Linked DNA regions of Daphnia pulex. The protein of the gene in region 1 purifies or fractionates together with the protein of each later gene. This does not show direct contact. Links are inferred from orthologs where the notes say so. Each region holds a gene or a part of one and is shown on either strand. Other genes may lie near its edges.

Region 1 (10,961 bases):
TTATTGAAATATATTTTTTAATTATTGAGATATTTTTTAAATTTTAGTAATATTTAAAAAAAAATTATAGTAATATTAACAACAAGTTTAACATGATAATAGGGAAGGATTACAGACAGCTCCGCACCGATTCGAAATCTATCGTGGTATAGTTCACTGTTATCTAGCGCTTCAGCGAAGTCGAGAAGCCATGAATATAGCTGCTAGCTCTCTTCATCATATTGGTCATACACCTCGCACTTTCACGGTTAGCATTCTTTACAGTGTTTCGTGTTAATCATTCGTTTAAAGCAGATTTTTATCAAATGAGCCATTAATTAAATTGCTGACTGCTCTTTGCAGCTCTACGCATCCGTCCTGTTGAAGGATCCTGTTACAACCGCAAAGGGCAAGGTTTTCCTTGAAAGAGCTTTGAACATGGGTAAAATTAACATGAATAGTTTCCGGTGTAAAAAAAAAATTGTATAACGTTTTCCGTTGTAGATCCTCGATACACTCCAGCTGTATTCCTTTTAATCGACTCGTATGAGCAGGTGAGTAGCTGTACAATCCTACAGAACCACTCACTGAACTACCATTGACTACAATTATTTTCAGGCTGGCCAGAGATCAAAAGCCATTGAACTGCTTACTAAGCAAATAAATCAGCAACCTACAAACAGGTTACATCATATTTTGGGAGACCTATTCATAAAAAATGGAGATATGGATAAAGCATTGGAACAGTACAATTCTGCACTAATGTACGAGAATCTTTATCACTTGATTTTACTTTAACTTGCATATTCACATACTATGCATGTGTTTAATTTTTTTCTTTGTAATTTTAGGCTTGAACCGAATAACGTAAAAACCATTGAGGCCATCAATAGGCTTGAAAACGCATTGGTAGCTAAACTAGAAAATCATCTGGATTTGGAAGCTGATGATCTTCCTGATTCTGATGAAGAGGTAAATTCAATTTAAAGTGAAAAACAAAATATATGCATATGTTAAAAGCTATCGTTTTCAAGCCAACCATTGAAGAAGTCGACATCGATCCTATGGGTGGAATGTGGGCCGACATGAACTTGGATCAATTTCGGTAGTTTCATGATTTATTTGTACAATCACTCAAAAATACATTTTCTACAAAAAGTATAATCCTATTAGCGCTTCCCGCATTCTATTGATTTTATCATCGAAATGAAAAATTAATTAGCCTACCTTTTCCATATTTGGTTCTCTCAGGTGTCCTCTGAGGATTACTTCATGTATACTGTAATTATTTTCATTTTGTTATTCACTCCCCAAGAATATCTTGATGACCAGCTTGTACAACCAATTGATCAACTAATTTAATTAATATATAGTCTAGTCCTTTCTACACATTTTAAAAAATATGGTTTAAATGTTATTCACGAATGATCTATTTAATAAGGGAAAAATTTCATTTAACAAGACTTGCAATCTCTGAACATTTCACTTTTAATTTTCATATATATAAATCCACTGTCTAGGAAATTTTCGAGAAATACTTCATTAAAAGTATAAACCCCGGGAATCTTTAGAATAAAAAATTTACAACACAGAAGAACCAAGAACCACAAGTTTAAGCTACCAATAACCAAAAGATAAAAAGAATTGCAACCCACAAAAATAATTGTGACAAAAAGCGTTCGTCTTCCAAATTTGCAGGATTTGTTCCATGGGCTCCGTGACCTATGCAAGATTTTTACTATTATTAACCAGGTTGATTGATTTCTAATGTATCTTCACCTCTAATAACAGGATCACCAAAGTTGAAAGTGGAAGCAAATAATCCAAATGGAAAGGCTCCAATTCCAAAAGACATTTGAAATCCCCCATCAAATCCAAAATTCGAGAAAGCCTGAAAAAGTAAATTTGAAAAAGAAAATGATTCAGTAGTCTGAAATGTTTGGTCATGGTTAATAAAAAAATATTATTCTTATTTTACACTTGCGTAAGGGTACACAATATGTGTTACCAACTTCATCATTTACACAATGAAATGTAGTGAAATTATATAAATATTTACTCCTGTATTTTCTGGTTCTGTCCTTTGACCTTGAGGTCTAGGAGGCAATTTCTCTCTTGGATCTTCTTTTGAGCCCCCACGTCCATATAATGGTATAACTTTATCTCTGCTTATAGCAGCTTTGCAGACAGGGCATGACTGCCTGTTTGGTCTTGTTTCCAGCCACTGATGCAAGCACGGCCAGCTTCATGTAATAAAACAGGGAAATTAAACAACACAATCTCTGAAAACATGGAAACATTCCTTAGACTTGTACCAAAAAAGATGTCCACACATACTAATGACTGCATCTTTTGCCGTATCCAAACATATGTTGCATTCAAAGGCTCTTTCTTCTTCACCTCTACTTTCATTTCTTTTATTTTCTGTGTTGTCACCTCCTGCGCTATTTTTCGCAGTAGTGTCGGGTTCTTCATCTACAGCCATTCTAATTAAAACCTAAAAATACAAGCATTTCATTACATTCACTAGCAATATTATTTAACTTTTTTTTAACGTGTCTAATACCACTCACGAAAAACGTTGAATGGAAAATTAGAATACTAGTTTACAATTGGATAATTCAAAGTTAAAGCATCTAGTCTGTGAACTTTAACATTGGTTTAATTTCATTCCCAGCTGCTGCACTTTCAGTAGGCCACTGACTGACTATTCACTATTCAATACAAAACTCAACTACGTCATAAAGGTTGCCAATTTCACTTTTTTTTTTAGATTCGGCAATATTATCACATCTATTTACACGGAAATTTTTTCAACCATGTTTTCAACTAAAATTTTATTTCGATGAAGGTATACTGCAAAGTAAGTAAATGTTTACAAAAAAAAAGTTGACTATTAATTATTGAGTTTTTATTTGAAAAATAGGGCATTGATCATTGGATAACATTCAAATGGCTGGCGCAGTCAAGTTGTAAATAATCTCGTGGAGTTTGATTCTCCCACGATGACATCCAAATATAACGTTGACACAACACGATTTAAATATTTGTAGGCCATTTCCTGTTTCAATTATACACACTGAAAACATTTGACATGCGCAAGCGCATTGCTACCCGTAGGTGACGTAAAACGTTGAGCTCTGTGAATACGTTCATGCTGCGGTTTTGTGCTTCCCACAGGCTGTCGAACCAACCAGTTTTTTAGTTTGACGGACATCGACAACAAGTGCCCGAAGACGATAGTGTATTCATGTACAATCCGAACTTCTACTACTCCATTTTACCATAAACTTTTGACTTCCAACACACTGAACCCTTCGTAGATTGGCAATTGCCAATTGGCCGCCCCGCTATAAGTTGTCGTGTTGATCTGAAGGCGTAATAATTGTAACGTTATATGCACATTTGGAAGCCGATTGCTGTTTTTTTCTAGTTATCCACCTGTTATGAAGATGGCTCACTCATCAAATGGTAAGTTATGGAAGCTAGTCGGTCAGACATAACCTGATCACTATAGTAAAACATACTTTTCTAAATTTTAGAAGCAATATCATACATTTATTGCATGAGAATGACTAACAGAATTTTTTATTTCAGACAAGGAGTTCAAAGAACGTCTTATCAAAACTGTAAAAAAAGAGGTAAGGACTCGCATTTTATCTTTTGATTAATGCGAAAAACTAAAAATCTATACACCGGATTTTGGTTTTTTAAAACGTATACAAATACAGCCTTACTTACGTATCGATCGCTAACTGAACTATAGGTGTTACGCCCCATAAATTGAAAGCCATATTTTTAACGTCGCAACATCATTTTCTTCTTCATTGGATTAATTTCGTAGTAAGATGAGATAAATCATAAATAAACAGCTCGTCGTCGATTTATTGGGTAATAGGATAAGGTTCTGATATTTTGCTAAGACATCGTAAATACGGTATTTTATCACAGCGGCAACACTGTCAAACGAGTAGATGCAATCGATCCAACCCACATTTGTCTTTATACTTTATAGGGAATGATTTGCAGCATTTTCACTCCTGGGCTGCGAGCCTGTGATTATCTTTTTTTTAGTCGATAATTTTCTATTCGAAAAAATTTCAGCCAAAGTTGTAAGTTTTTTTTTTCTTTTCAAAAGACCGTGGCTAAGAAGGTTAGCGGTTTTTTCTTAAATACATATTGAAATTAATCAAGTAAGTACCGGCCGTCGACATCACGCTTGCGCACGGCGTTTTGAAATGGTCAATTGGTCATGGGGTCCGCACTCTGGTACTTTTTTCGTAGAAACTAGGGGGAAATAGCAACAGGAAAAACAAAAAAGGAAACGAAAAAACAATGTGACGAAAAAGGCAAGTTAAACCAAATGAAAAGGTAACTGGGTAAAAATTTATGAAAGTCCTTGACAAAAGCATCTCCGCCCCCTTTCTAGTTACCAACTGAATATTACTAGTTACTAGTCAATATATAAAATATTAACTGTGTTCTTCACATAGGTAAAACAAATCATGGAAGAGGCAGTGACACGCAAGTTTGTGCACCAAGACAGCAGCTCCGTCACATCCCTTTGTGGTAAGCTCATAAAATTTGATCAAAGTAATGCATGTGTAAAGAATGTTGCTACACATTTGATCGCTGATTCCATATTTTTGCGATTATCGCTTATTTATCCATTTTAAAAAATCATTCGACCGGAAGTCTCTTACTTTTATTAATTGTTATTTTGCTAAAATTTTCGATTAATCTGAATGAATTCAGTGTTGTGCAAATATTTGTTGGGACGTGATATTTTATACACTGGTATGATTTTTAGATCTAATATTTTACGTTACAAAATTTATTTGGCAGCCGCCGTAGAGGGGTGCTTGTCTCATGGACTTCGGCGGCGAGCGCTGGGGCTCTTTCGTTCATCGTCAACCACGGCTTTGATGCATAAAGTTGCCAAAATATACCCACCTGCTGCAGTAATTTCAAAGCTCATTACAGAAGCCGATTCTTCTGAAGGAGTAAAGTATGTGCAAATTTTGTTGTCACCTTTGAAGTTTAATTGTTCATAGATTATAGGCAGATTATAGGCTACTCGGATTTAAATTGAAGTCGTATCTTATGTACATTGTTGTTTGTTCTTGTTTTTTTTTTTTTTATGCACAGAAGATCGTCTTCAAGCGGAGATAGCATCACCAGAATGCTTTCGTGCGGAGGAACGGGAGGAAGCGGTATCAAGCCCATTTTGCAGAAAAGAAATTCGGGTTCGTGGTTATCTAAAGGAACCAGTACACAAAAATATCTTTGGATCCGATTAGCACTTTTTGAACGCATTTTGGCAGGGATTATTGAGCATATCGTTGAGAATCATTTGTAAGTGGTTTTTTATTTGATTCCATTTATTGATTATTAATTATAGTAAATTGAACCATAGGAAATATTATGAAAACGACGCCCTTGTCGCAGATCCTGAATACGGCTCCCTTTTAGGTCATCTTCTCGGTGAGTTGAAAAATGAACATTGTAGGTCTATATGTTTTCCATGTATATTTTTAAAAGGAGAACGAGTACGTTTCCCCAAAATGTTGCGAACAAATGCGATGTTTATCTTTCAATATTTAAAACAAAATACTTGGTCAAATCGTATTAATTGTGTATAGTTAGAAATTCCGTATCTTATTTTTTAAACAATCTATTCTCTTTATAGCTGGTCCATGTGCTCTTGAGTTTACCAAATTAAAAACCAAGGATCATTATTGGACGGACCCACCTGCCGACGAACTTGTTCAGAGGCATCGTATTTCTAGTTACGTATCGTCAGGCGTAACCTCTCCAGCTAATCGACGTCCAGGACTTCATGTAAGTTACATCGTATTCTCTATTATTTATTGTTAATGGTATCCAAATGTTAATTATGTCATTTGAGCAGCTAATTTAGTCTTTAGTTCTAGCCTCTACCGGTAGGGGCTTAAGTAACGCTCCAAGCGCTTTATTTACATCCCATTCTGAGTTCTGCTAGTAGCCCAGCACGTTTCATTCGAATGAATCATGATATACATTGCGAACCTTTTCTCATTTAAAAATGCTAAAACTGATCCAGATTATAAGATATTCATTACTACTGCATTCAAACTTTTTTTTTGTGATTGCAGTACCGAAAACTTTTACCTGGAGGTAGCAGCAGTGATGGCGAATCGATTAGTTCTATGGGGAGCAGAAATTGTTACGTTAACTCTACCGCCAAGAATTATGTGGAATCTCTTCATCAAAACAACAAAGTTGTTCTACTTTATGGGAAAAACAACGTCCTCGTGTTGTCGGTAAGCAATTATACACATCCTTAGTTTACAGCACCAGAACTTCTTTTGTTTGGCTACGAAAACCCTGAAAACCAGCTGAAAGATTGTTGAAAGCTTCAATGTGAGGCCACAGTGGGCTACAGTTGTACAAGAAAACCCATTTTCTTGTGTAATGACAAAACGAGTTGTTTAAAATTGTATTGTCCAAATAATGTATTTTTTTGTGTGTGTCTTACTGTCTTGCATTAGTAGTAATTTTTCATAATTATAAACAGCGTGAGTTGACAGAACCGATTCCGGGATACCTTTCGCTACACCACGCTATGGATTCGTTGACTCTAAAATGGACTCCAAATCAATTGATGAATGGCGGAATAGATTTCGATGGTGTTGACAAAAGGTAAATTGATATTCTATAAATTTAATTGTAAGAATGATTTCCCGAAAATAATATTCGTGTCACAAACAGATTTTATTAAGTTTTTTTACATCATAAGTTCACATATTGTTGTACGGCTGACGGTTATTTTAGTAATGAACCCATAGATATTAACTAACTAAGAAAACCAAATTGTCTGGGTTATCTATCGGTAAATTTTTGTTTTCTGACGGTCAAGTAATGTTATGTTTCATCATTATATTTTTCCTCAGTACGTATTGGAACTATGCTCTGCATGTAAATTTGTATGACATCGTCTACGTCCATTGTCACCAGAAAGGTAATAACTTAGATTGTTGTTTTTTTTATACATGTCCAAATGTTTCGTATGATTTTGAGAATAACGTTGTAAATTAATTTTCAAGGATTTGATGTTGGTGGCAGTATGGTACTCGTTGGCCAGGATGGAGTTCAATATCCCGCAATTCATTTTCCAGCCGGAGGCCATTTATTGGCCTTTTTAACATGTTTAGAAACTGGCTTAAATCCCCGTGGACGATTAGATCCTCCCCTGTGGACCCAAACAGATAAAGGTATGTATTTCTTTTCTTTTTGAGACAGATGTGCGGAAAATGATAGAATGACCTAAATTGCTTAAACAAGAAAAAAAAACACAGAAATTTAATAATTGGCTTTACATAAAACGCGTAGATGTTCATGGTATAAATTATTATTTGTAAATAATTAAGTATTATGTTTCAAGGCAAAACATTTCCCAAAATAAAAAGAAAAGGACCTTCATCCGGAGACAATCTTCTCGCAATGTTAAGCTACAACGCTGTTGAAAGCAACGGAAACGATGAAGATATTACAGACGAATCGTCGATATCATCAGACTATGTATTTCGCATTGTAACCACGAGTGGTGATTTCGTCCACGATCATAATCCAGGTAATCATTTTTTTCTATTACTATATTGGCTGCGTTTAAAACTTCGATAGGACACTGGAAATTGCTTGAACAGTTAAATTTGTTGAACAGTTCTAAATTATATTAGAGAACGGAATAAATGAGCAAAAAATAGATTTAGTGTTACTAGATGTCGAATATGTAATCAAATCGCATAAGGATACTACTTAAATATATTTCACTTAGAATTACTCCAAGAATCGTCCGATGAAAATGCCTATTTATCACAGGGAACCAACGCTTGCCAAAATCAAGGTAAAAGTTTTATTTAAATTTTATGCAATTTAAAAATCCTATTGTGTCGATCCTGGTGTACAATAGAGCTCTTGTAAAATATTTAGTTCTTTAAAAAAAATGTCTTTAAATATTTTATAGTTTGCGCTTGCAATGAGTTTGAATTCTGGAATAATAATTTTTAGCGTGCAGTTCATATTAACGATTCAGAACGGTTTTAAAGTGCGGGAGTAACACAGTAATTTTTAACAAGAGCTGAATGCGTAACAAACTATCTTCCGCATTCATTTTTTTTTAAGGTGTATTTTTAGAGAAATATTTACTTTACCTAATATTAAGTTCCCCGTCCATTACCGTTAAGTACTTCATCTGTTTACCACTACAGATTGATATCCCAGATAAAAAGTAAGCAAACAACTTTGCATTTCCTAATTTTTGGGAATGAAATTCCAAGTGAATTAAAAAGCCGAAATATTTTTATTCACACATTGTTTTTTGTTTTCATAATTTATTAAGGATCAATGAGTCCACGATGGTGGTCAACTAACCATAGCCGTCCCTTTAACTCAACAGAATCTACAAGCAGCTCGTCTTCTTCTTCTAAAAGCTTTGCCGCAAGTCTTAGCCTCGCTGAGAACACCTGTAACAGTGTCATCAATTCTGTATTTTTCGAAACAGTTGATGACTCTGTTTCTTCTCAATCATCAACCTTAATTGGAGTCCACAACATCGTTAAACGGGGGTGTGTTTTAAATAGTACATTTGTATTAAGTTAGCTGTTCGGAACTAACTTGAATTCAAAGTTGTCTAAAAATATTTCTTTAAGTGCAACACCATATGACTGAAAATTAAATTACTCATTAAATCTAAAAAATTAATTTTCAAACGTTTATATTAGGAAATTTCTTGAATTCATTACGATTTTGTTTTTAAATTTGGGTCCTACTCTTAGGATTTCTCTTGATTGCTTGTTTATTAAATATTTTTGAATATAGGAAGTCTTTGCAAGTGCTGTGTGAAACAATGAAGCGACAGATAATTTCACGAGCATTTTATGGCTGGTTGGGACACTGCAGACACTTACGTACTGTTAGAACCCATCTCTCTGGATTAGTAAATGATGCGATCATTTCAAGGAATAATTCATGTGGTGAGATTTTTATTATTTCAGTTGTAATTTTCACTTTTTTTTAAATATTTATTGCCGATTAATCATCATCATGCTGTTAAATTTCTGTTGATTGCCGATTAATTGCCAATTATGGGATTAACTGAATTTTAGATGAAAACAGTGGGGTCAACGAAAAAAGTTGGTCACGGCTGGTGGTGGATGGTGTGCTGTCAAACTCCTTTGAACTTTTCCGTTTGACATATTATGGAGGAGTTGAACATAACTTGCGTAAAGAGGTTGACTTTTAAAAATTCAAAAATCTACTTTTTATGCAAATGATTATAAAGATTTTCGTTTTTTCAAGGTGTGGCCATATTTACTTGGACATTATCCCTTCGGAAGCACAATAGAGGAACGGCACACCCAAGACAGAGCAATGCAAACAGCGTACGAATCAACAATGTCAGAGTGGCTTGCAGTTGAAGCTATAATTCGCCAGAGAGACAAAGAAATTACTGCTGCGAGCATTGCCAAAATTTCCTTTGGGTCACAAAGTGGAGATCAACTTTTTGAAGACCCCGTCGAAGACCAGAGTAGGATACTGAGCAATGAAGTAATAATATTCAGATTTACGTATTCGATCAAAAAATTCAGTTTCGTGAATTGCTCTTGTATTTCTAAGGTTTTCGATTCTGAAGACTTGGAGGCGGATCATATCGAAAACGACAAAAATGAGGATAAATTGGAAGACGAGAATGACGTTATCGCTAAACACCCATACGAAACGATTGATGAAAAGGTTATTACTACACGTGTAACTGTATGAATTTATTTTGACAACTTTTTATTATTCGTTTCTTAGAGTAAAAGTCAGGATTGTGATGTCTGTCCATCAAATGTTACTATGGTCAAAGTTATAACTACTCATCCACCTTCTTGCGCAGCAGATGATATTGCAGCATGTATAGATTTTGAAAGTAAAATTAGAAAGGCAATTTTTTTAGAAGAATTATTAATTGAACACTGGTGTTGTAATAATTGCAGTTCATCGGCAAACATTATTGGAGAACAACGGCAGTAGAAGTTTACAAAATGGTTCAACTATGGTTGCTGATATTAGTTCAACTAAAGACACAAATCTCAGTCTGCCTAATCTGATCATTGATGACGGCATGGACCGCTGTAGCATAGGTTCAAGATCATCTTGTGTTTCACCCGTAAGCTCCCAAGGTGGAATTTACACGGTAATTTAATTTTCCACTACGTAAAATTATTCAATCCTTTTGGGGTAGTTGGGCATTTTTTCAAAGGGAGACTTTAATACCCTATCAAGTCAACAAAGATTTTGATAATTTTTCCCTTTATGTCTGAATAAGGCGGAATTGCTGGAAAAGTATGGTCTCAACTTACATCGAATAGACAAGGATGTTCAACGATGTGACCGAAACTACCACTATTTTACGCCTAGTAATCTAGACAAACTTCGGAACATTATGTGCACGTAAGGGAAAAACAAAATATTTGCAACGCTCTTGTTCGTGTTTTTCGCCGTGATTTCTAAAGCTATTTTTTATTGTCATTTTATAACATGTGTAAAGTACCATATTTTTTAAAACTACTTTTCTGCGGTTTAACCAACGCGATAATTTGAAAGACACAGCTAAAACGAGTATTTTTGTTGCAGATATGTTTGGTGCCATCTTGATATCGGTTACATGCAAGGAATGTGTGATCTAGTGGCTCCTTTACTCGTCATCATAGAAGACGAAGCTCTCACATATTCATGTTTTTGTGAGTTAATGAAAAGAATGTCAGCTAATTTTCCTCAGGGAGGAGCAATGGATTTACATTTTGCCAATATGAGGTAAAACCGTTTCCTATAAAATCTATTTTTTAAGTAAGGTTTTTAAGTTAGACATTCTAAAACGAGCTTTTAAATGCTCAAAGACATAATATTGAATAGTTAACTGTTAACATAATATCCTTTGTAAGGAGAACTAGATTGAT
Region 2 (11,803 bases), on another chromosome or scaffold:
CCTCCCGGGATAATCCAGTCGATGATTGGATATAATTAACTTCCTCTATTCGATATATTTTCATGGCCATATTTTCTTCTTCTACACATCTATAGCACATAATCAACGTATGCGTTTGAGACCCCCCACCCAACACTGGCCACTGGCTTTTTTTGTTATGGCATTATCTCCTTCTGTTCCTTTCCATCGAGTTCTAACCGACTTCCTTCCTCTTGCGACGGCGCTACCTCCCACGTGGACACTGGACAGCATCAGCGACCTTTGCGACCAAATGCGAATCATTCTAGCAACCTTCTACCTTAATTATGTGATATTGTTATCACGACATAATCCGAACCAAACTGTTGAAGCGCTTTCGGCAAACCCAAAAAGAAAAGACATCGGCAAGTAAAAGATTGACGTTTCGACGGAAAAGAGTCGATTCCTCTTTGTTCACTTGAACGAATCGAACTAGGCAACCCTAAACTGACAACACACAAACATGCGGGAATTCTTGAAGGCCGTGAATCTCCAGCCAAGGGGAAATTAAAACGAGTCCCATGCACAGCGCAGTGCGCGGTGGCTCTAACGTGACGGGCTCACGATATGACAGGAGGTCGAGGAGGCGACATTTCCGGCGACAAGAACGATAAGAGGGCGACACAGACTTCTGATCTGTGGTGGTACTTGGTATGCATGGAAAAGGGGGAGCGAGTCAAGAGAGCCGTGAAAGCCATTTTAATTGAAGATATAAAAAAAGAAAGAAAAAAGAAAGAAAGAGCGGAAAATTCGACATCGAAGAGAGGGTTAAATCGTCAGTATTGGCCAAAGCCTTCATGACATTCCATTTCACGGTCTATCAAATCACATGGAGGACTTGGAAGAGTGGGTTAAAAACTTATTTCAAAAAGCAAAAACTCATCAAGCCCACGGATAACCAACTAACTTGTACTAGTTCTGACGTTGCCCGGTTTTCCACAAAATAGGGACGCAAGGCGGTTAACTAATGCCTTTGTTGGCGCTTTAGTCTCCGTCAATTTCGCTTAAAGCCTTTCCAAGAGCGCGGGGAATAAACAGACGAGGGAAAATAAACTTCCTTCCACCAATGCGCTACAGTAAATCCCACCTGTTTCTGTCTCACGTGAATGTTTGGCGCGATGCTTTTCAAATGATGAATAAACAGAAAAGGGGAGACTGGAAAAGGGCAAGTGAAAAACTACAAGTGGTGATGGGGAGGGAGCTGTTTCTAGATTTTTCTTGCCAGATGGAGTCTCATCGGAATTTATCGTTGCAGGCGCCAGAAATGGTTGCCCACACTTTTTATTTGCATGAAATCTCTAAACTCGGAACGACTTCAAACGACCAGTCGACGGCATAACGACCGGGCTAATCAAATGCAAATTCTATTAAAATGACTTTGAACCCCTGCTGTGGAGGACTTTCTAGTTTCTCACTGGAGAAACCCCAAAGAAGCCTCACTATCACCATTAATACCAATTGAAAAAAATTTTATTCAAATTCGGTTGACAGACGAAAAATCGGAGCTAGAGCGCTGCGATTTTACGTAGTGACTAGATGTTTTGATGGATCAATATTATGAGATTGGCCAAGAATGAGGAAAAAAACAACTTCTTACCTGAGCCAGTGACGTTTGGTGACGCTAGTGTGACAGCAAACTGCATCGTACTGATCTGCCACCCAGACGAAGATAATGACATAAAAGGCAGTGGAACTGTCGTTGAAGAATTCGGCCATAATAGCTTCCATTCCTAAAAGAAAATTCGTGAAAATATTTTAAATTTACCACCAAATGTTTACTAATTTATTTGGTAAAAAGGAGGAAAAACTTGCCGACTAAAGCCAGAATGACGGTGAAAAATGACGCGACTGGAAAAGTGACATTTATGTTGAATTCCAGCATCTGCAGCAAGTCGACTGTCGATTTTGTAAAATTTATCAGATTACAGTCACAATGATTTGTAAAAATAACATAACTTTTCCAATCAACAATGGGCATTTTTTTTTTCAATTTGAGTTCTGCATTCGAAAGTTTCTGTGACATAATTAAGTTCGAAAAACTATGACCTTTTTAAAACTGCCTTCACGAATCGGGGGGATGCATTTTACTGCGAATATAATAAAATAAATTGCTTCTGTCTCTCTCTCTCTCTGATTTCCAGAGCCTAGTTTGATTCGGAGGAGAGCAACATCACAACGTTGATGGCCGGACCGTATAAAGTGACATGCAGATTTTGGGCCCGCTGGCACGCACGTAATCCGATCACAGTCATCAAGTGAACTTCAAAAAGTTGCAAAATCCAGTACAAGAGGCATGAAAAAGGTATGAATTGCTAACCCACTTAGTCTGCAACGCATAAAAAATGAGACACTGATGTTAATTTTTGACAGAGATAAAAGCGGGCGATAATAAATAAAGTGGAGATATAGGAGCGAAATTCGACGAGATCTCTTGTACATTCATTAGCGCGATTCTGGATTTCACACATTAACGTTTTATTGATTTACTTAGGAATCGTTATTTGGCGACCGTAATGTTCGCATTATTTCAATTTCATTTTGAAGAGTCAAAACTACTTGGATGGATCCGCTCAGTTGCAAAAGTAAACGCGTGCGAGTTGTCTGCATGTCGTTTACAGTGACGAAAGAACTACCTAACCTTGTCCTTCTTCCGATATGTCTCCCTCCTACACCTAAGGAAAACGGTATCGGCCACGGATGTTCAAAGCGACCAATTTCCCCACGGAACGTAGGAAGCGAAGAAAAAGGGAAGGAAAGAGAGAAGAAGGGAGAACAGTGGAGATTAAGAGAGGAACTAAATCAGTAGAACGACATTTTTGTTGAAAGTTTTTCTCCTGCTTCTCGTCTCCTCTGTTAATCAATGCGTGTTCAACTCTTTCCTCCCTCCCCAGTTCCAATTATCCAACGGATCGCTCAAGTGGAAGCCCTTACTTAAAAGTGAACACGAAAACAACCCCTATGCGCGACCCGTTAACGCAGGAGAAAAATGGGAAAAATAATGCTTAAAAGAAAAGAACGAGATAACCGAATGGCTTACGAAAACACTGAAAACATGGTCTCCACCTTTCATTCGCAAACGTTCAACAACAGAATATCCACCATTTCGTTGGGTTTCTTCCCAAAGACGACCGACGAAACACACGGCAAATGGTACTAATGATCAAACTTGATCACACATGCTTAATTTCCTATCTAGAGCATTCTGAAAACAAGCACACCCAAGCACAAAACTAAACCATTTTAATTTGTCTCCGAGGAAAGTAACTCTCTCTCTACTTCGCTTATTCCACTACTATTCCAAGTATTTGCCTTTAACCACTTTCTACGGTAGAATTGTCGTTTCCGGATGATTCCTCAATGTCCTACAACTGATATAATCTCCTAATGGATACGGGGAGGTTTGTGAGTGTAGATCGAAACTGTCCATTGCTACCTATGGTGAATGCAGCATTTTCTTTTCCCCCTCGTCATGGTCTGCCCTCTACCTCCTACTGGGTTATTTCATTCGCATTATTTTTCTGACTCTAACGTTTTTAAAGCATTGGTAGAAGCGTCCGTATCGACTACTACTACCGTTTAACACTATTTCAGTATATATGGATAAAAGAACTTACAAATCGCTAATGTTAAATATATAGATAAAAAGTTATAAAACAATAATAGCGATGTCAAAATCTTTGGCTATTTGGCAAAACCGTTTTTGCACAATATTGAACGAAATTATTTCAAAAATAGTTTCTAATTGATTTTGACAACACTGAGTAATAAAAGAAAAAATTACCAATAAAAATGAAGATCTGATTCCGTGAATACCGCAACAACATCGATATCGACAAAGTCTAATGAGAGGGAGAAAAAAATACACCAACGAAATTAATATACAGACACATGAACTAAATAACCGACTAGGATTTAGACTTACAAAAATCACCATGGCAAAGGCGGACGCAATATACGATGTACGAGCCATCCACATATTGACAAACCGGTAATGTTCACCTGTCACCACGTTCCTGTGCAAACGCGATCAAAAAATATACGGATAAAAAATACAAGCATTAATTAGAGGTCCCTAATATAAATAAAGATGGCAAAAAATACCGAAGATATCCCTGACTGTCTTCTGCCTCAGCCAAAGCCTTGACTGCTCCCATGATAAAGTCATTGTAACCAAGAAATTCATCAAGTAAAAATCGCCCAAAGCTGTCGCCGAAGCAAGTGTTGTTAACCGGGTCCAGCGTAACGAGCAAAATAGTGATATTTAATTTTCTTCGGGTTGTAGGGCTCAAACGCAAAAAACCGTACTCCAAAGAAAACTCTACAATATACTCTTCCGGTGGCCACACTGCTGGTTGGAAAAAAAAAAAAAAAAATTAAGGAGTAAGAATTGAACAAACAATACTATCATTCAGAATTTATTTATAAATAATTACTTACTGGCTCTTATGATTTTATCGAGTTCTGAAACCTCTGTGGGAAGCAGAGAATCAATCCTTTCATCATCCAAATTCGTGATATTGTTGGTCAAAGTATCATTGAAGTAAATTTCGTCTGATAACAATTCCGTCGTCTCCTTAAGCGCGGATGATTCAGTTTCTTCTGAGTCAGCTGAAGAACTGAAAAAAAAAAAAAATTCAAATCATTTATGATTTGAGCTTACCATCCTTTTTTTTAAGTAGTTCCTCTTTGCAGGCAATTACCTATATGGTCCACTCCAAAAACCAAACATAGCCTGATATTCAAATTGCTCTCTCTGATGTATCCTTTGCTCTTTAGCATAAGAATGGTGTAATGAATAACCCTGTATGTCTGGACCATTTCCACTTCTGGTAATGTCAATTCTCACAATACCCTCTCGTGGCCAGTCAGCTTTTATGTGATCCAGACAGGTGATGGGGGAACGGGAAAAAATTATGTGTATATACAGAAGCATTAGGAAAGCTGCCAGTGCCTAAAAACAATCAAAACTTATAAGGATAAATATTTCTTTTAAGTTAATTTTTTACCTTTAATAGGAAGAGCCATTCCAAAAGTCTTCGAATAGGTTTTGGGAATGTCCTGGCATATGCAATAGCCATTCGATGAAAAATGGCATGGAACATTCTATCTCTCACAGTAGCTAACTGATTAGCATTTACATAATTTGGATTGTTGTTATTAAGCAGAGTAGGTCCAGCACCATTCATGTTGTTTCTAGGTATGTTGTTATTAAAAAGGCCATTTGGGAATAGACCTACTCCAAACAAAAGATTGTCTCGTGGCATAATTCACCTACCACTAAGGTAAGGTAAAGAAAGAAATAAGATATTATTAATATAATAATAAAGGTTTAATAGACAGGGCACTCAGCTAACACAATCGATTTAAGTTGCAGTTTCTTACTCTTATAACGACTGACAATAATCTACCATGAATGACATTTTAAAATATTACTTACCATGCAAGCTGTACCGAGAAATCCGTATCATGGAATTAAACAATTAAACAAAACACTTGTCTAAAACTGAATTTTTTGTTGATTTACTAAAAGATAACAAAATTGTTCCATTACAATAAGTCGACACGAAAAGACTGTAGGCCTACAGTGTACACATCGACGGTGCAGCCATCTATTAAGGAAAAGTTTCATCATAAGTTCTTAATTACGCGCTAACAATTCTTAATCCCATAATAACTAAAAACAAGCCATCTCCCATTCTCACACACCAGTGCACCTTCAAGTTTGAATCCGGAATTGGGTTTTATTTTAATCCGGAAACGGACTAAAATAGAATTGAATTGTTTGCCTTAACACACCGGATTTTTCTCTGTTCGCAGAATGCCGAAATTCCCTATCGCTTATATTTTTTAAATTTTGCAATGGGGGGAAAGAAGGAGGGGACTAGGAGTTGATTTTCGCGATCGCATCGCTTTTCTAGGAAGCGGGGAAAGGAATTTACTTCCCGGATTTGATTAGTCGACTTCCATAACCCATTTGGTAGAGTAGAAGGCTAATTTGGCCAAAGAACCGATGAATAATTTGACAATCAGTTCCGATGGAACGGAACTGCCATTATTCCTTTAAACTACCTGCCTGTGAACGCTTCAAAATTGAACGTCTTTTAATATCAAGGTTCAAGACATAAGCGTGTCGTAAACGCACTTTATCCCGTTGAAAACATTGCTACTGCTGAATTAGACGAGTAAGTATTATTTCATCATTAACTGCGAAATTTTCAAAAAACATTGTAATTTCAATTTTGAATAATAAATTTTTTTTTTTTTTAAACATTCCACTCAGCCTAATCTCTCTCTTTCTCTCTTTTTTTTTTTTTAAGATTTAGGAGGGTCCCACGGCTTGTCCGAAATGTTTATTCTATAGTTTTGTTGTTCGGACAAGTCGTAGAGGAGAGGAATTTCAATTTCGCTTGCGATGCTACTACCGCTACTACGACGGAAATGGGGAAGAGGAGAAGATTGATGAAGTACTGAGTAATATGAGATGGTAGATTTCTTTAGCTTAAATCACTGTCAATTTTACTGTTGAACATTCTTTATTGCTTTAAAGTTTTCTAGTTCCGTTGCTAAGGATATCAGGCTGCTCCAATATTCTGTTGAATTTTGTCATAACTATCTGCCAACCAAGTTTAAAGCGACATGTTTACAGTTATAGAAATTCTAGGTGCACATGCTGACATGCATAACTCATACTATTTTCTGTGTATTACAATTACAGAATGCTACTTTTTTTAAAAAGTACTAACTAAATAGGTCATATAAAATCAGTGTATTTCGTAAAAATACAAACGAAGACTGCACAACATTTTCGTAAAGACCTAATTTAAAAACCTTCAGTTATTTGAGAAAACAACGTAGAACGCCAAACAAGAAATTCGGCGATGTACTTTTGGACGGATCTCTTAAACTTCCCCTCGCTTGGACGGCTCACTTAAAATTTTGCACTTGTCATAACTGTTTTTTAAACTTAGTCACAGAAATAAAACCAGCAATCTTTCGAAAAGCTAATTTTAGTCATGCAAACAGCGTCAATTATCGATTCACTTCCACAGTCGGGTCGTACCTTTCGTAAGTAAACTCGGGATAGAGATTAAAACTCAAATAGTCAAGTGCTTGGTTAAATGCTTGTTGAAGAACTTCAACAAGTTCCTGAAAGGCGGGGCGTTCATCAAGATCGATCTGCCAGCAGCTAACCATGATTTGATAAAGAGGAAGTCCGATATTACCAGGCTGTTTCAACCGCAGCCCACGTTGGACACGCTGAATCAACTCCTTACTGACCCGAATGTCGACATAAGGGGTTGCACCTAATTCAATAGTTTTATTTTGTATTTATTTTTGATTGCTAATAAAGCTAAAATCATTTTTAATAATTATTAAGAAAAAGATGCACATTAATTACCAAGGGTAACAATTTCCCAGAGGATGATGCCAAATGACCAAACTTCACATTTGGGTGCATGCTGAGGACTCGTCAACGCTTCAGGAGCAATCCAGCGTTTAAAATCGGTGCTCTATCACATTAGACAGAAAATAAGCATTAAAGTTTAAAAATACATTTCCGTTCTAATTTAGTGCTCACCTGTCCATTGTTTGGTTGATAATAGTCCATTCCGAACCCCGAGATCTTAGGAACAGTTCCGTCGGTGCTGCATATGAAAATCGTTCTAGAAGATAGCCTTTTGTGAGGTACCTACATAGATATACAGAAACAATTATTTTAGATGGATTTTATCTGAAGAAAAGAATTGAAAACTGACCGATAATGATTGCAAATAAGCCATTCCCTTGGTGATACCAAGACCTACGTCTATGGCTTGAGCTTCGTGTAAGGTTGAGAATCTTTGTTCTTTAGTGGCATAAGACGGGTAGTTGTTCAATGCGCGACTATTTAGTAAAAATTCCTTTAAATTCATCCCATAAAATTCCGTAGCGACCAACATCATTTCTGTAATTTAAAACACAGTGAGACATGAACTCAGTATTTACTTATAATAATATATGTACATATAATTAATATGAAAATATTGTATACATTATTAATTATTTTTATTACCTGGTTCTTCACATACGCCAATAATACCTGCTATATTAGCATGTTGCCCAACCTTAATCAGGACTCCAAGATCTTTTAACATGGAATTTCTTTCTCCTTTTGCCAAAGACTTGTCTAAATGTTTCCAACAGGTTACAATGACAGTTTTTAAATATGATTGAAATAATTAGAAAACATCTCTAATGAATATACCTTCAATGATGTGCAAAGCCGCTTCAATTTTAGATTCGCCTCGTTGAATGTTGCCTTTTAATACTTTGCCAAACTTTCCAGATCCAATCGAATCTGCGGTTTTAACAATATTTTCGGATGGAATTGTCCACATACGTTGAATTAATGATTCGTAATGATCGACAGCAGTCTCTTCAATTCCCATCACAAACGAAGAGTGCACGTAGCCACTATCCTATGATAAGATACAAGAATTAATTTCTCAATCATTTAACTTAGTATGCCATACATACCAATTCAATTGTCGAGGTAGAACCTCCGTGAGTCAGACCCTGTCTGTCTGATTGTTTTCTCGAGCATTTGCGGCGATTTAAGTCGTTGCGATGAACTTTATGACGCAAATAAAAATAGACAAAGATGGAAATAAGAAGTAAAAAGCCTAAAACGCCGATGGCAGCGGACAAGCCAACGACTAAAGCGGGAGGATCTCTTCCATACGGAAGTCGCTGTCGGCGAGTTGTGCTTCGACCACTGGTTATGGGTTTAGTTTTCCGAATAGGAATTTTGTCAATCAAATCTGTTTCTTCCAGTAATTTAGTGAAGCTATTGCCGTTAGTGCCAGGATCTTCTTCCACAACTACTAAAGGTGTTTGCTGGCTGGGAGGTTGAGTTTCGGCAACGGCTTCGACAAACTTTGGCCCAACTTCAGGAGCGTCAACTCCTATAGGATTACTCGGTTCGGAAAAGGAGTATTTAGATACACCTTCGTATGTAGATACAACCCCTAAAACGAAAAGTACTTCTCGATCATCAGGTAATGGAGGATTGTTGAAAGTTCCACCATAGTTTCCACCATCTCCGACCACAAACTCTTGCTTAAAAAACTTGAAAGCAAAAAATTATATCATTAAAAAAGGCAATTATTTATTTGAAGAGGAAACATTTTTTTAGCAAACCTCCGGGCTTAATTCGGCAGCAATGTAAAACGGTATATTTTCTGCTTTTGCTTCTGCCCAGTTTTTTAACGGGCTATCTTTGTGTACACCTATGGAGGCAGCATCTTCGTTTAAAACTATGATTCTGTAGGATGTTATGGGTCCGTGACTGGGTAAGATCGGTTTCAGCTGGATTGTGGCCGTGTTATTAGCTGATTTGATCACCACGGGACGCTCTGGTTTATCTGGGGCTAAATACAAATATTTAAAAATTGCTGAAAAACTCACATGTTAGTTTTACTGTTTACCTCCAATTTCAGTATTGAAAATATTTGATAATGGCACACCATATCCATCCATGGTTTTAGCTTTAACAGTAATATTATACTGAGTACCAGGCTGAAGTCCTGGTAGTTCTGTTGTTGTTGTTACGTTTGAGAAAACCCAATCCATTGGGAGACCTACTGTACTAACTGAATATGAAGACACTGGAGTAGCAGCAACATGATATTCCAGGATAATTCCATTGGAAATGACTGGATGCTCCCAAGTAATTTTCATTGTATTTTCATGCTTACTCAGCTGTGATAAAGATTTAGGTGGCCCAGACACTGGTAAAATAAAAAAACAAAACAATTTAAACACAATCTATAGGATACAGTAGCTGAGAAAATGTTACCTATGAATCCGGTTTCATAAACACTCATTGAGCTTGGACCTCCACATAATTTTGAATTATCTGATATACAAGTCAAAGGGCAAGTATCATTGATAGATTGGGCACCTAGTGAACTTGTACATAGACACTGCTTCCCATCATGAATTCCTGAATATCTGCAGGATGGAGAATTATATTTAGATTTCTAATCTAGACATAGCTTATTTCTCCTTACTTGTACTGAAGATGCCTGCACTGGGATAGACAGCTTGTAGGAGAATCTGCTGCAGCTGGGTTATTTATCATAAAATTCATAGAATTTTGACCGTTGTTTATCTCCTGATATTGATAGCACCCAACATAATCTCCTTGTATTGCTAATGAAAAGGTAAAATTTCCACATAGTTGTGTATTTATATATTTATGAAACTGAAAATATTACCTTGGATTGGAGAAAACAATTGTGCTGCATGTAAAAATACTAGCAATCCAGCAATAAGGAGATACATTATAACTGCAGTATTTTTTTTTAAGGTTTGTTGTCAAATTGACAAATTTACATGACAGCCTATCAGGTATAGCGCCACACCCGGATAGCACGCGATTCGATAGTTGCTCTAGTACTAGTTACAACAAACCAAAATGTTTGAGTTGTTTTTAAAAAATCTGATCAACAGAAGAAAGTCAATTGATCTTACTACCTGGGCCTGAGGTATTTGATTATTTTTAACTGCTAATGCATTATTTTCTAAACTGTAACACACAAGTAAGCACTAAAACAGAGTAATTAGTAGTAATAGCATAACTGTGTAGCCACTGCCCACTGCTCACTGCAATGTTAAATCATGGTTAAATTTTCCTCTCGAGTTTTTCCCCAAAAGTTGAAGCAAATATCGCGTAACGATAGTGGAAAATGGGTATAAAATATCGATATACAGTTATACACACCTGCCGTAAATGAAGAGAACACAACTTATAAGAGCCATCTATTGGTTTGCGTTTGCCACACTTTTTACTTTTTAAAATTTTTTTCAACAATGCGGAATGCTTTTGCAGGATGCCGTACACGACTACAAAGAAATTGAAACCCAAAAATACTGCTATTTTTTATTTAACATTGCAGGTAGCTACTTTTTCCCAGTTAGGTGTTTTAGTAAAACATATGCTTTCTTGTAATTAAAAAGTTTCTCCTTGAAGAAAAATCGAATTTTATATGCCATTGCCATGACCATAGCATATAGATTCTTTTGTCGTGGCAATAATAAGTTCAAATATACGACTACTGCCATGTGCCACTACATTTCGTGTCAATGGTGTACTTCACAGTCGTGACGCAGCCTATCGTAGCAATAGATTTAACCCGAAAAGTAAAAATTACAAAGAATCCGTTTGCGGGAGATGAACAATATACGAATCAATTAATAAGTAACAAGTAATGTATATGTATTCCCAATAGAAACGAAAACTATGAAGAACCAATAAAGGGGGACTATATGGAATCATAATAATCTTTTATGTAGAAGGACACCAATAGTCTAGAAGAAGTCTTGCGATACTCCAAACTCAGAATAACTGGTCCACTGGTTATTAACCCATAACATCAGGTAACTTATCTTCGAAACCCAATTCCTAAGAGAAAAACACAAATTTTGTTTAAAAAACAAACAAACAAAACAATTACAGCACGACGAAGTGATCAGTGACCCGCAAAATGATAAGACATCATATCTAGACATCTAAACATCTACACGGTTACATAAAAATAAGAATCGGGAACTTACCTTGATTTCTAAATAAACGACGCTGTTTTCACCAACAGAAACTTTGACTAGACTACAGTTGGTAAAGATGGCACGGTAGATATAATAAAGTAAAGTAAAGTAAAAAAAAAAAAAAAAAAAGTCGCGGCAACGTTCGTAGAGGGAAAATAGGTATTACTGTGTAAGTCAGGATGTGCATTGGGAGGAT

Evidence for each region.
Region 2: the proteins of E3 ubiquitin-protein ligase RNF185-like (region 1) and membralin-like purify together in Homo sapiens (affinity purification with mass spectrometry; 3 studies listed by BioGRID and IntAct, counting the BioPlex papers as one, with this or other methods). This does not show direct contact. The link is inferred for Daphnia pulex from reciprocal best matches to the Homo sapiens genes RNF185 and TMEM259.

The regions. Positions count from the first base shown.
Region 1 is NC_060017.1:4,028,649-4,039,609, forward strand, and holds E3 ubiquitin-protein ligase RNF185-like, read right to left. Parts: upstream 2,715-10,961; 5' UTR 2,590-2,714; exon of another isoform or gene 2,553-2,589; intron 2,477-2,552; 5' UTR 2,465-2,476; coding exon 2,295-2,464; intron 2,223-2,294; coding exon 2,039-2,222; intron 1,871-2,038; coding exon 1,759-1,870; intron 1,702-1,758; coding exon 1,592-1,701; 3' UTR 1,392-1,591; downstream 1-1,391. Other genes in the region: anaphase-promoting complex subunit 7-like, read left to right, coding at 103-247, 343-421, 484-533, 598-743, 831-951, 1,014-1,088; small G protein signaling modulator 1-like, read left to right, coding at 3,426-3,450, 3,577-3,620, 4,473-4,548, 4,825-4,987, 5,128-5,334, 5,396-5,463, 5,669-5,820, 6,114-6,281 and 14 more. UniProt on the Homo sapiens protein: E3 ubiquitin-protein ligase that regulates selective mitochondrial autophagy by mediating 'Lys-63'-linked polyubiquitination of BNIP1.
Region 2 is NC_060022.1:7,230,350-7,242,152, forward strand, and holds the start of membralin-like, read right to left. Parts: upstream 5,625-11,803; 5' UTR 5,456-5,624; intron 5,296-5,455; 5' UTR 5,283-5,295; coding exon 5,025-5,282; intron 4,970-5,024; coding exon 4,719-4,969; intron 4,635-4,718; coding exon 4,456-4,634; intron 4,367-4,455; coding exon 4,120-4,366; intron 4,032-4,119; coding exon 3,941-4,031; intron 3,858-3,940; coding exon 3,800-3,857; intron 1,915-3,799; coding exon 1,831-1,914; intron 1,749-1,830; coding exon 1,616-1,748; intron 1-1,615. Other genes in the region: uncharacterized protein LOC124196175, read right to left, coding at 7,048-7,322, 7,418-7,529, 7,598-7,708, 7,776-7,963, 8,072-8,185, 8,264-8,477, 8,536-9,126, 9,199-9,428 and 4 more; aldehyde dehydrogenase family 3 member B1-like, read right to left, coding at 11,423-11,464. UniProt on the Homo sapiens protein: May have a role in the ERAD pathway required for clearance of misfolded proteins in the endoplasmic reticulum (ER). Promotes survival of motor neurons, probably by protecting against ER stress.